2 linked regions of the Saccharomyces cerevisiae S288C genome follow. Each later gene encodes a partner of the first gene's protein in a complex. Each region holds a gene or a part of one and is shown on either strand. Other genes may lie near its edges. A codon is read from its position in the direction of its gene.

Region 1 (8,797 bases):
TTTTGAAAATGATACCAAGAGATGAGGATCCTCATTCTCAAATAAGAGCATTTAAGTTGGTTTTCGAAAATAATCACCTAAGATTATCCGAAATTGAAGAAAGTGATGAGGAATATTCAGGTTTGATTGATGGAGAACATATATTATCGAACGGGTTTAAGGAGTGGAGAAAATCTTTGAAATAACAATATTCCTTTATGTCTTTCCTGCGCATATCCTCATCGACGTATGGATCTAAATAATATAAATGTGCAGATTAGATTAAGTTATATACACTATGCATGGCGAACCGATTTTGTATCTTTATTATTGAGATAAACCCTGTATGATCCGAAACTCGTATTGGTAACAAATATTATACCTATTATGCTAATTAAAATGAAAAGGAAAGATCGTATACTGAACGCTTCAAAAAAAGCATTTATTACCTCCGCCAGAGTACGAGCCCATGCTTTAGCCCATTGGTAATCGGAGCCAGACACTATTTCCTTGTTCATACATTTTGACCATTCATTGCAACGTACCTCCAATGCTGGAACCCTCATATGAGGTTCGCACTGGTTTTCAAAATACCTTGATTTGCAAGTTGCAATTTTATCTAATTCTTCCCTCACGTTATGCTCCAGTTTTAAGTTAACATCGTTTCTTATCATCAAAATGAATTTAATAGCAAGAGACAGTCCTATAGTTCCTATAATAAAATTGAAAAAAAGCTGTATATACTCCGCAATTAAACTTGGGCTCAACCAAATGCTTTGTCGGGCTAATCTAGCATCTTGCGGATGTTCACCTTCCAATACTTCCTCCCTTCCCAATCTTGGGTTAGCAAGTATGCCATCAGGCTGTCTAGAAAAACTACGGAGTTCCATTCCGGGACTTATGTTGGGATAGGGGATTCAAAGATGAGTCTACATAAGTTAACTCATCAATAATAATGGAAAGAAGTTTCATTAGTTACTACTAGTATTTTGCTTGCTCCCGGGTAATGAATTTTTCCGCTTTTCATCTACGTAGTATTATGTTATTGACGTTGTGTACATTATAGAAACAAAGTGTGGCCTTCTAGCGCAATAGATATTCTCAAGTCTCCTAAGTTCCTCTCCTCAGCTAAAAATCGTAACTCTTCGAGTATGGTTAGTCTTGGGTCTCTTTTAGCAGGTGTTGACTTAACGTGAGTAACGATAACATTCAAACCGCTTAATCCCTTACTACTGTTGTATAAAGTGTTCAAATTGGATAATTCGTTGATTAAATATATTGGAGATAGATGACCATACAATTGCTCGGGCTTGGAAGATAATGGGCATGAACATTCGACTAATATACCCTTGAGATGCACAAGCGGTATATTTTCAGCAACGTAAGACCAAAATTCTTCAAGTAGAGATTCTTCAGATTCTCTGCGGTCCTGCTCAACATCTCCGCAAACTATTATACAGTCTTTGCTTTTCCTGTCTCTGAAGATATAGAAGGTGCTGTATACCGGCGCGCCAGTCTTGACGCCTATCCCATGATGAACTTTGAACGGTATTACATCCCAAGGAAAGATAGTGCACTTTTGAACTTCCTTCGGATTCAAGCATTTTAGCTTCAATTTTCTTGAACGTTCTGCCGTTAAATCTGGCCATATTAAGTCATTAAAGACATGCTTTTGCAAAACGTCAATAGTATGCGGTAATCCCCAAATAGTTTTCTTTTTACTGTTTTCCTGCTCATATATTGAGGGGGAGTTTACTACCAGCCCACTAATATGGTCCAGATGGGGATGGGTAATGTAGTAGTCGGTAATTCCTTGGAAAACCTCGTAAGTTTTCTTCATTGTATTGGCGCTTTCAAAATGCTCTCCCTGCCTCTTTAATGATTGTAGCAAGGACTTGGATAATCCCTTTTGTATGTTCAGTTTGGAATCAATAAAAAACTCTATTGGCTCTCGATCATGTTCATAAAAGCTTGGAACAAGCTCATCATCACCTTCATTTTCATTTCGCCCTTGGACCAACATCTCCCGTAGCTGGTACATTCCTGCACCACCGTCTACAGCTATTAATTCTGGATCCTCTGTTCTAGCAGGCTTAAGTATAAAACACTGTGTTCCGTATTCGGTGGGTCCTCCATTGGCCCCAAGTATAGTTATTTCGAATACAACCATAAAAAGGAATATTGGTAAAAAAGGGGATGAAGAAGAAGAACCTCGTTAAAAGCCACTTTCTCTTGGAAATTTCTAAAAATATAAATTTCAGATATTGCTTCCCTCGAAAATGGAAAGGGTTTGACTATTGGTAATTTTTAGTTTCAAGTCACGCACCCTCACCAAAAAGTGCATCTTAATCAGTAACTCATTTTCCGTGCGGTATTTTTTTCGGGTTGTTTATTGTGACAGATGTAATATTATACATACGTTAACATATGATCTACAGATACTCCGATGATCCAAGGGTATAAAAAATAAGGTAAGGGTTAATTAGGTGGCTAGTTCATGTTAATAAATACATTTTCCTTGGTTGAATTTACTAACTGTAGCATGTAGTCGAAGAACGAAAGAGGCAGGCGTAGTATAAATAGTTTACCGGGTAACGATCCTTGCTGGATTTACCATTCTAAGGTTAATAACTTCTTCAGGCGAGTCATTTGTGAAACCGTAAGCATTTTAACAGCTTTGCTTTCTTCCTTTATTATTGCCATAAAAAATTCTTCGAGACTATATGTCTGGAAAATTTTCCGTACTAAGAGGATGTTAAATCCCAAATCTAGAAGAATATCGGCATTTGCAATATTTTTTTCTTTCTCATCGTTATATGAAAAGGCCCATCTTGCAATGAAATATTTCATCCAATCAATAAAAAAGTCAGTAGTCTCATGAATGAAAAAAACATCAACACGTGAATTCAATAAATAAAGTTTGATTTTCCAGAAAAGATCAGGATCAACGTCTTGTATTATTTCAGAAAACTCCACAATTATAATGACTCTCTGAAATTCAGTTAAAAGATCGTTTACCGCTTTATCGTAATGCAATGAGCCGTTATTTCTGAGTTGCATAAATCGGCTCGCCTGAATTTTATATACACATGTTGAATGGTTTATAATGAAATCGCATTCGCCAAAGTAAGATTGTTCGATAAGGTCTAGATGGGAATTTTTACATAATGACTGAATTACCTTTTGGTTCTCAATCACCTTGTTTTCATTTACGGCTATGCATTTATTCTCAATATCTTCTTCCAATATTGAATGCTTTACTGAGTAGTTATTAAATGAGCAATCTTCCTTTCCATTGTAAACTGAATTAGAGGTAGGAATTTCAATATGAGAATTTGCATATGTCCCAGAATTTATCAAGTATGAAGTGGAAGATATACCGGTGTCACTAACATCCTTGTCCTTCTTTATTTTTTTTTTGGTGACTAACATGGACATTAGTTCATTATCGATGAAAGATCTCTTTTGAGGAGCTAATGATGTATTAATATCCGCCTTAGATGAAAGACAATCATTTTCATCAAATTCTTGGGTTTCAATAGCAGTTTCATCGTGTCTTTCACTTTCTTCAATTGACTGATTTTCAGTTTTTTTTACATCTGGCATACTCATTGCAAGCTTTATACTACCAAACGTCTTTTTTTGATTATCGATCAGGTCAAGGGAGCCGGAATCTAATTTTTGAAAAGTTAACCTTAATGGTTTGATCGAATAGGCCTCCCTATTTATGGTAACATGCTCAAATATTGCATACCTAGAATGATTGCAAATTCTTTTCAGAGGATCCCATACCAAATCCTTTAGGTCTTCTTTTTCTAGACACCATATTTTATAGTTCTTTTTCTCAATTGGCTTATTCTTTTTCAATTTTTTCATTCTTATTTTAAAAAATTCTAGTTTATTAAATTGAGCATCAAAGAGTTCATCATAACGTTTTTCAAACGTATTAAGCTGTTGATCATGTTCTGGGACTTTCACAACCCAGCTTTGCGAACTGGTCTTGAAATTGTACTTACTGCACCTACTCTTATATTTGAAAGATTTCTCAGGTGAGATCCGTTGTAAACGGTATCTATTGTAGGTTTGCTCAAAAATTTGGGGCTTCCATTCTGACAAAGGTTTATCAGAAAATCCAACGCAGAAGTTCAACTTTTCCTCCGTTAGTGTGCTGCATTGCACTTCCAGTACAGAGGACATTTGTCTTAAACTCGGATATGGTACCTTTTTCCTGTATTGACTTCTTCTGAGAAGTGGGATGTTGAACCACTCTAACCTCGTGTTATCGTCTGCCAAACCGTGTTCCGTCATTTTTTGGTGAAGAGGAGCATTTAATTGAACTGAAAGACTTTTCATCCAGCTAAAAAATAACATGTCCTGTTTCCCGACTTTTAACTTTTCCTTGAATAACTCATACTGTAGTTCTTCTTTGTTGTCATTCTCAATGTTAGTCACATTCCATGTTTTGCCAACGGCTACATCTATTTTTTGTCTTCCAGAGGTGATGTGAATTACCTCCAAAAAATACTCTTCACCATTGATCGTGCCGCAGTTTTCATACCCTCCGATTTTCAGTGGTTTAAGTTGCAAATTTCTTAGCTCTTTCAAATATTTTTGTGCTCGTCTTCCCAGTTTGATGTTTTCTTTTAAGTTTCCTGACAGAACAGAATAGCCGCCCACATTTTGGTTACATTTAGATAACTTTACTTCCCAACGTTCAATAATCATAGTATTTTTGTAATATGATCTATTTCTCTAAATTGATTCAATTACTCGAGCTCGTTAACAATGGTGTGGCACTATTGAGTGATTTTCTTCTCCTGAAACATATTTTATGCTTGTATTTTACATATCCTAACAGAAAATACTTTCAGCAATTCTTCCGAAAGTAAAACTTGAAAAAAATTGAAGAAAATGACGAAAAAACAATACAAAACAATAATACAATTCGCTACAAAAAAGGGGGAAGGGCTATCAGAAATCGAATATGGACCTTTGCATCATCCAAAATTAATGAATACTTAACTGCTGACTATACAAACGAAAAAGAAGGCGACCTTAAATATTACACAGAGCCAATAATTTATTCGCGGGAGAAGATTCTCAAAAGGAATCCGTGACTGGGAAATCAGAAACTCACCGTTGGACATCAGGATTTCCCACGATCAGTGCTGATTAAACATGGCTACTTTAGTCTTCAGAATCCTCACCTACGTCATCATCTATGTCCATTACAATGACTTCTGAAGTATTCTGGTGTGTATATTGGTCATTGTCATCCACAATTAAGGGATGCGTTTCATCGTTAGAAAATGGCTTTATGTTTTTCAACGTAGCTGAGCTTTCAGTTAATTCAACCAAGGCGTTGTACCGAGAGACAAATCTTGGCCTTGTACTTAATTCAATAGCCAAGTGCGTCGGTATATCAGTTTCAAAATTAGACTCCGATCTTTCCTTCAGGATTTTAAATATAGTATAAACATCGCTGAATGAAATATGGTTGTTGTAGACATTATCTTCGAACAAGGTCAAATCGAGGCTTTTCAGTTGTAAAACCAACTCCTTCGTAGCAAAAGCCAACCTGCCAAAACGATTTCCCATAAATTTACGAATGGATTCCATGAATTCCCCCATGGGTCGCTGATAAAGAGCAGCGTTTTCACATATTATGGGGTTGTTACTTTCGTTCTTATCATCCGACGTGAACAACAGAAATGTAGTATCTTTATATTCCACGGTGACTTTGGGCAATTCGCTTTTCATTAAAGTCTCTGCCACGTTGCGTATACGGGCGTCCGATGGTTGTTCCTCCACGAGTTCATCATCATACTCCAAAAGGTCTTCTTCATCGCCCTCATCCAATTGAACCCCGACGTCATCCACCTCCACTGTTTTATGCGCTTCTTCTTCACTCATCTTTGATTCCATTGATACCAACAAAAACAATCTTTAACTACGTATCTTTTCCTTTACGTATATATAATTAATCATATATACTTCCCTTTTTTATGCCTTGTTGTAGTTTTAACATATCATGTACCACGAATGGATGCAGGCTCGGCGGGTATTTAGACTTTGCCCCGGATTATAAACAAAACGGGACTATTAGTATCATCTATCAAGAAATCCTTTCATTGAAAATGATTGATACCTCAAGGTGGATTTGACAACTTAAGAGGCGTCGTAAGGATGAAAACAAAGTTTGATCGCCTCGGTACAGGAAAAAGAAGTAGACCCTCTCCAAATAGTAGTAACGAAGCTTAGCAACACCCTTATCAGTTTACACCATATCGGACAACAACAGTATTTTGACTAACATTGTTACCTCTTTCTTTTATTATCTAGCGGAAATGCAACCAAAAGTGGTTTTTCTGGACTAGAATTTCAGAGGACTTATAGATATTGACTTTAACGACCAGTCTGCTACATTTAAAAGAAATAAGAAAAATAGCCGCCAACCAAGTTTTAAAGTAGGTTTGTCTTATAACAGTTTACTGGATGATTGTGATGATGAAAATGAAACAGAGGAAATATTTGAGGGCCGTGGTCTGCAATTCTTCGACAAAGACGATAATTTTTCAATAACAGCAGATGATACACAAGTAACTAGTAAATTATTTGATCACGATTTAGAGCAGACACCTGATGAAGAGGCGAAGAAACCTAAGAAGGTCACGATAAGGAAATCAGCGAAGAAATGTTTGAGCACGACCATATTACCAGATTCATTCAGAGGGGTTTTTAAATTTACAGAATTTAATAAAATGCAATCAGAGGCTTTTCCTAGTATTTATGAGAGTAACGAGAACTGCATAATTTCTTCACCAACCGGATCAGGCAAGACTGTATTATTTGAATTGGCAATATTACGTCTTATAAAGGAAACAAATAGTGATACCAATAACACCAAAATTATATACATCGCGCCAACCAAATCTCTATGTTACGAGATGTACAAGAACTGGTTTCCTTCCTTTGTGAATCTTTCTGTTGGTATGCTTACTAGTGATACCTCTTTTCTGGAAACTGAAAAGGCTAAAAAATGTAACATAATAATTACGACACCAGAAAAATGGGATTTGTTAACAAGAAGATGGTCCGATTACAGCCGATTATTCGAATTGGTCAAACTTGTCCTAGTTGATGAGATTCATACCATAAAGGAGAAAAGAGGAGCATCTTTGGAAGTAATTCTGACAAGGATGAATACAATGTGTCAAAACATTCGGTTTGTTGCTTTAAGTGCAACAGTTCCAAATATAGAAGACCTAGCATTGTGGCTCAAAACTAACAACGAGCTTCCTGCAAATATTCTTTCTTTTGACGAATCGTACAGGCAAGTTCAGTTAACGAAGTTTGTTTATGGGTACTCCTTCAATTGCAAAAATGACTTCCAAAAAGATGCTATATATAATTCCAAATTGATTGAAATAATTGAAAAGCATGCCGATAATCGTCCCGTACTAATATTTTGTCCGACTAGGGCTTCAACTATATCAACAGCAAAATTTTTATTAAATAATCATATTTTTTCAAAAAGTAAGAAAAGATGTAATCATAATCCCTCCGATAAAATATTAAATGAATGTATGCAACAAGGTATCGCTTTCCATCATGCTGGAATTTCTTTAGAAGACCGTACTGCCGTTGAGAAAGAATTTCTTGCAGGTTCAATTAATATATTGTGTTCAACTTCAACGTTAGCTGTTGGTGTGAACCTTCCCGCATATTTGGTCATTATCAAAGGCACCAAAAGTTGGAACTCTTCTGAAATCCAAGAGTATTCAGACCTAGATGTACTGCAAATGATTGGGCGGGCAGGAAGACCTCAATTTGAAACTCACGGGTGCGCAGTAATCATGACAGACTCTAAAATGAAGCAAACATATGAAAACTTAATTCATGGAACTGACGTTTTGGAAAGTTCATTACATTTGAATTTGATCGAGCATTTAGCAGCAGAAACCTCTTTGGAAACTGTATATTCAATTGAAACTGCAGTAAATTGGCTACGAAACACATTCTTTTACGTTAGATTTGGGAAGAATCCAGCTGCATATCAAGAGGTGAACAGATACGTTAGTTTTCATTCCGTTGAAGACTCTCAGATAAATCAATTCTGTCAGTATTTGCTTGACACCTTAGTAAAAGTGAAAATAATCGATATCAGCAATGGGGAGTACAAATCTACAGCGTACGGAAATGCAATGACGCGACATTATATATCCTTTGAGTCGATGAAACAATTCATTAACGCAAAAAAATTTCTATCATTACAAGGGATACTAAATTTACTGGCCACTTCTGAAGAGTTTTCAGTTATGAGGGTGAGGCACAATGAAAAAAAATTGTTCAAAGAAATCAATTTATCGCCACTTTTGAAATATCCATTTTTAACCGAGAAGAAACAGAGCCAAATAATTGACAGGGTTAGTCAAAAGGTTTCTCTTTTGATTCAATATGAGTTAGGTGGGTTAGAATTTCCATCATACGAAGGCGCTTCTAAACTACATCAAACTCTTGTTCAGGATAAATTCCTCGTTTTTAGACATTGTTTTAGATTACTAAAATGCATGGTAGACACATTTATTGAAAAAAGTGATGGAACATCACTGAAAAATACTTTGTTCTTACTGCGAAGCCTGAATGGTCACTGCTGGGAAAACACGCCAATGGTTCTTAGGCAATTGAAAACAATTGGACTAGTTTCAGTAAGAAGGCTAATACGACATGGAATTACCAATCTAGAAGAAATGGGGCATTTGTCAGATACTCAGATTGAATACTATCTTAACCTCAAGATTGGAAACGGCATAAAAAT
Region 2 (3,995 bases), on another chromosome or scaffold:
TCTGTTTCCATACTAATATCTGAGTTTGAGTCTTTCTTTTGTAAATTAGATTTTTTACTGTCAACTACTGGAAAACTTGCCCTTGAAGGTCTGGAAACAAAACTCCGTTCTAAATCTCCAGAATGGGTTACAGCCACCTCTCCTGATATTTTTTGTAATTTGTCAATCTTTTCATCAATTGAGTTCTCAAAACTACTAATGGGCGTACCATCTTTCTTTGATAATACATTGGTGTTATCGTTAATTTGATCCATTTGATCATTTGTGGGAGGCGGCTTCTCTGATATGGATTGCGTGTCGTAAGTCACCATCGATAGGTTTTTTGGAGTTGGGAGAGATGAATGATCCATTCCTATTTGGCCGATATTCCATCCCATGTTATCATCCAATTTAAAATTTTGAAATCTACTGTCTTTGGGGTTTAACTTGGAATTATTCATATAACATTGCTCTAACCACATATGATTTGTCACAATAATGGCATTTTGCGGGTCCAGTGACCATTTTTTTGCGACTTTGAATTTTTTGCCAATTGTACTCTTCGTGATCAAGTGTGTGTTTTTTCTTGTTAGTTCAGGTGTGCTAAGTCCTCCTAATATTTCTACTAACCTCTGAATATAAAACCTTTGGGAGCCGAAATAATTAGTGTACGCGACTGTTAATTCCTTAGAAGTAAATAATTTCGCATGAAATGGTTGGTGAATAAGTTTACATTGCGATACAGGTGTAAATTTTTGCAGCGCAAACATATAAAACAACCAACTTACGTTCCCAACATGAATTTCCGGTTTAATGCTTTTGGTTTTTTCTAGTATCGGTGAGTTAGCAGAGTGGCCGATATAACAGTCAATATCAGGAAAAGCTTGGTAAACAGACTTCAGATCGTCAGAAAAACTCAACGGAGTTACTTTGCCGTCCAAATCCTCGATAAATCCTTTCAAAAACCAATACAAAGGTGTGAAAAAGTTTAAATCTGGTGAGATAGCAAAGTGGTGATTTTTGAATAAAGTTTTGTTTGGATGAAGAGTAAGCTGCGATGATGATGTCTGCTTATCGCCAATAACCTCTTCCCATTTTGCGAATAACTGTTCCTCACTGGTGTCCTGCATATCAAGCTCACACAAAGTAGCAAGCTCGCCCTTCAAGGGCTTCGCCATTTTGAAATGATATAATATCCATATTGGATAGACAAATTTCCACTCTCTCAAAGGCTTTTCGGTGTGCTTGTTGGTCGATGAAGAGGAAAAAGAGCCAAATGTCAATTTACTGACCGTTGCTATGATCGGGTCCTGGGGACTTTGAACAATCACATGCGTCGTTCTATTTGAGATGTAATTGACTAAAGTGCCTCCTAATAAATGAAGCAAATCAGAGTATAATATGTATTCACACTTATTAAACGAGCTTTTGGAAATATATACTTGACAGTCTCGGAGCAAATGAAATGGGTTAGGTGAATACATATTTGTCCTCAAATGTCTCTTCGTCTTGACCGAATCCTGGACCCAAGTGTGTGATACCACCGGGATCAAAAGATCGAAATAAACTATCTTATAAAAAGGAAAGTTGATTGTATTACTAATGACAAAATGTACTGTTTGCGGGCCGAATTTGTTCATGAACCAATCTTTATCCGTCTTGACATCTTTCAAATTTTCGTTATAAAGCTCGTATATTTGACAGTTATTGCATGAATTATCCATCAAAAGCTTTCTAGTAGAGTGAGCGATGGGAAGCTCAGCCTCTGCTGCCACTAAAATTAAAAAATTTAGCTGCTCAAACAGAAGTGATGTGCTCATGGATCGTATATTTACCAGTATGCTACCTCCTTGAAATCTTGCCCAATAACCTAATGACTTCCATTGAATATACAATATAGAACATTGTGATGTATTTATTTATTGGCAAAAAATGTGACGCGAAAAACAACATTAGATGAGTGAAAAAGAAAAGTCACATCTGATATAGCTTACCCTGTTAACGCGTGAAAAGTGGGCGGCTAAAACCGAGAAAATACGAAATAGTGTAAAGGTTCAAGAGAATAAACTTCTGGAACAACATTTCTGGAATGGTTCAATAGAAATGTCTGAATTCTTTTGGGATGTACAAAAAATACAAGAGATTTCTAATGTCGAAGAACATTCTGTGGTTAAGTGTGTTACTGTGAATACGAGCAGGTTAATTTCGCAGCTTAACGAGGAGCTACAAGACGAAGAAAGTGGCGTCAATTTTATTGTTACACAGCTGCAATTACTGATAAATAATGTCTATGAGAAAATACAGAAAAGCCCTGGAGTTCCCGCACATCGTTCTCTGATGATAAATTTGAATTTCACGCGCTTGAAATTCTCAATAGCTTATTGGGATATCTTATTGGAGAGGTCACTAGATCTAATAAATGGACCATCGAAAACGGGTGCCCGCTACTTTATTACAGAGGTTACACCAGTAGACAGAAGTCGATATGTTGAAAACAATCAATATTTTCTAGCTTTTAAAGCTAACCAGCGTTTGACACGGAACAGCGTGGATATGGACGAGTTTATTGATTTTGAAATTCTAATCAAGCAAATAATTTTCGACCTCTTCAAAAAAAACGGAATTCCAGATCAAGATTTTGAAGCCATTTTATCAAGGTTTCATAATTTGGAAAGCTTGGTGGTTGCTTTTAATGAATAATAAAAAAAATGTAAGAAAAAAAAAATCAGGTATTGTTGAATTATTATTTACTTATTCTTTATGTACTCGTTTGCTTATTGGTTTAGTGTAGCATTTGGCTATTTTTGGATGACTAGAAAGGCAGATTTTTTTAGTAGAAATACTCCTCATCTTCATCGATTTCTACATCCTCTGAATCGGCAGCAAGGTTGCCTTTAAAGTTCAGTTTCATAGGATTGACTTTCTTTTTCTTTCCGAACATCTTAACTTTGTGCTCATTCAATTTCAATGAGCATGGTGATACCAGCCTGTCAGTCGGTGATGCAAATCTTTGTTGTAGTTGGAGTTTCCTCTTCGGATCCTGTTTTAAAAGATCCCTTTTGAACATTGTCTTTTTTACCAAATTGCTAGTGGTGTGTGACGACTTCAAGTTTGAAGTGCTTTTTTTCCTAAAAATTCGAAAGGCCGCAATCTCCTCCTCTAAATTAGGTATATTCTCTTTATTGGCGTCCTCTCCTGTCTTCGCCGATTCATTGTAATTATTGATGTTATTGTGGTGATGGTAGTTGTCGTTGTTGCTGCTGCTGCTTCTGGTGATTGTGTTTTCTCTGGTAATATCAGTCTTGAGGATGGAAGCCGTGCGTGCTGATTGGTCACTTGCCTTGTTGGACATAAATACGTTTTCTATTGTTCTTACTGTATATGTTATTTTGTTTTCCTACTAGAAGTATTCCAAGATAGTAACTAATCTGAATGAACGTTTGGCTGACCTCCTAAAAACTAGTTTGAAATGGCGCTTTAGACTTCAAAAGGAGGAATTCTCCTCTTGTGGCAGTATTGTTTCATGCTTTTGCTTACAATTTTCATTAGGAGAAAAAAAGGAAAGATGCCCTGTTTACATATTTCCAAATTAGGAAAAGATATTAACCATGGCGAACTGCATTTCAGACCTGCTTTTTTTTTTCTGTAACCCTTTTAAATTAGGGTTTGCAATTTTGGCATTTTTCTTTTTTCCACAATGGGAAGAGGCAATACAATGGGAATCATTGAAATTTCCATAAATGTTGATGAGTCTTTGGCTGAGCAAGTCACATTGAAGTGTTCGCTGCACGGTGAGATACACCCTGTTTAACTTTATTTGTCACCTTTTTGCTGGTATTTTTTAGTCGCTTTTAACCTCGCTTTTTCAAAGACTATCTCCATTCTATTCTTCCCTTTTTCTTTTGTTCATTTGCATTCGCATCGTTATAGACACGGTATGTGGATACTCATATACCTATTTATCATATGGTCCTCACTGCGAACGTGGGTTACTGCTGTTGACTCTACTACGACAG

Evidence for each region. Proteins that work in one complex are often made in the same cells at the same time.
Region 2: the proteins of ZIP2 (region 1) and SPO16 are in contact, whole or in part, in a crystal structure (PDB 6BZG), measured with the Saccharomyces cerevisiae proteins. Residues at the interface, in NP_011265.1 of Saccharomyces cerevisiae: Phe534 (codon at 3,105), Leu558 (codon at 3,033), Gly562 (codon at 3,021), Leu564 (codon at 3,015), Asp567 (codon at 3,006), Val570 (codon at 2,997), Asn571 (codon at 2,994), Leu574 (codon at 2,985), Thr575 (codon at 2,982), Glu576 (codon at 2,979), Phe586 (codon at 2,949), Gln591 (codon at 2,934), Asp596 (codon at 2,919), Phe598 (codon at 2,913), Trp599 (codon at 2,910), Lys600 (codon at 2,907), Lys602 (codon at 2,901), Leu603 (codon at 2,898), Tyr604 (codon at 2,895), Leu605 (codon at 2,892), Leu606 (codon at 2,889), Asn607 (codon at 2,886), Ser608 (codon at 2,883), Arg609 (codon at 2,880), Val610 (codon at 2,877), Asp611 (codon at 2,874), Val612 (codon at 2,871), Phe613 (codon at 2,868), Phe614 (codon at 2,865), Ile615 (codon at 2,862); in NP_012023.1 of Saccharomyces cerevisiae: Val17 (codon at 2,131), Glu18 (codon at 2,134), Val23 (codon at 2,149), Ser77 (codon at 2,311), Met79 (codon at 2,317), Ser90 (codon at 2,350), Ile91 (codon at 2,353), Ala92 (codon at 2,356), Tyr93 (codon at 2,359), Asp95 (codon at 2,365), Ile96 (codon at 2,368), Glu99 (codon at 2,377), Asp103 (codon at 2,389), Lys110 (codon at 2,410), Arg114 (codon at 2,422), Phe116 (codon at 2,428), Ile117 (codon at 2,431), Thr118 (codon at 2,434), Thr121 (codon at 2,443), Val123 (codon at 2,449), Arg125 (codon at 2,455), Tyr128 (codon at 2,464), Val129 (codon at 2,467), Tyr134 (codon at 2,482), Phe135 (codon at 2,485), Phe138 (codon at 2,494), Lys139 (codon at 2,497), Asn141 (codon at 2,503), Gln142 (codon at 2,506), Thr145 (codon at 2,515).

What each region holds. Positions count from the first base shown.
Region 1 is NC_001139.9:29,005-37,801, reverse strand, and holds ZIP2 (Zip2p), read right to left. Parts: upstream 4,705-8,797; coding exon 2,590-4,704; downstream 1-2,589. Other genes in the region: RAI1 (decapping nuclease), read left to right, coding at 1-185; BRR6 (Brr6p), read right to left, coding at 276-869; 3',5'-cyclic-nucleotide phosphodiesterase PDE1, read right to left, coding at 1,040-2,149; RMR1 (Rmr1p), read right to left, coding at 5,167-5,892; HFM1 (DNA helicase), read left to right, coding at 6,166-6,223, 6,376-8,797. UniProt on the Saccharomyces cerevisiae protein: Required for initiation of meiotic chromosome synapsis. Involved in synaptonemal complex formation, a structure that tethers a pair of homologous chromosomes along their lengths and plays a central role in recombination and homolog segregation during meiosis.
Region 2 is NC_001140.6:400,770-404,764, reverse strand, and holds SPO16 (Spo16p), read left to right. Parts: upstream 1-2,082; coding exon 2,083-2,679; downstream 2,680-3,995. Other genes in the region: RTT107 (Rtt107p), read right to left, coding at 1-1,799; SPO12 (Spo12p), read right to left, coding at 2,810-3,331; MTC6 (Mtc6p), read left to right, coding at 3,917-3,995. UniProt on the Saccharomyces cerevisiae protein: Necessary for efficient spore formation.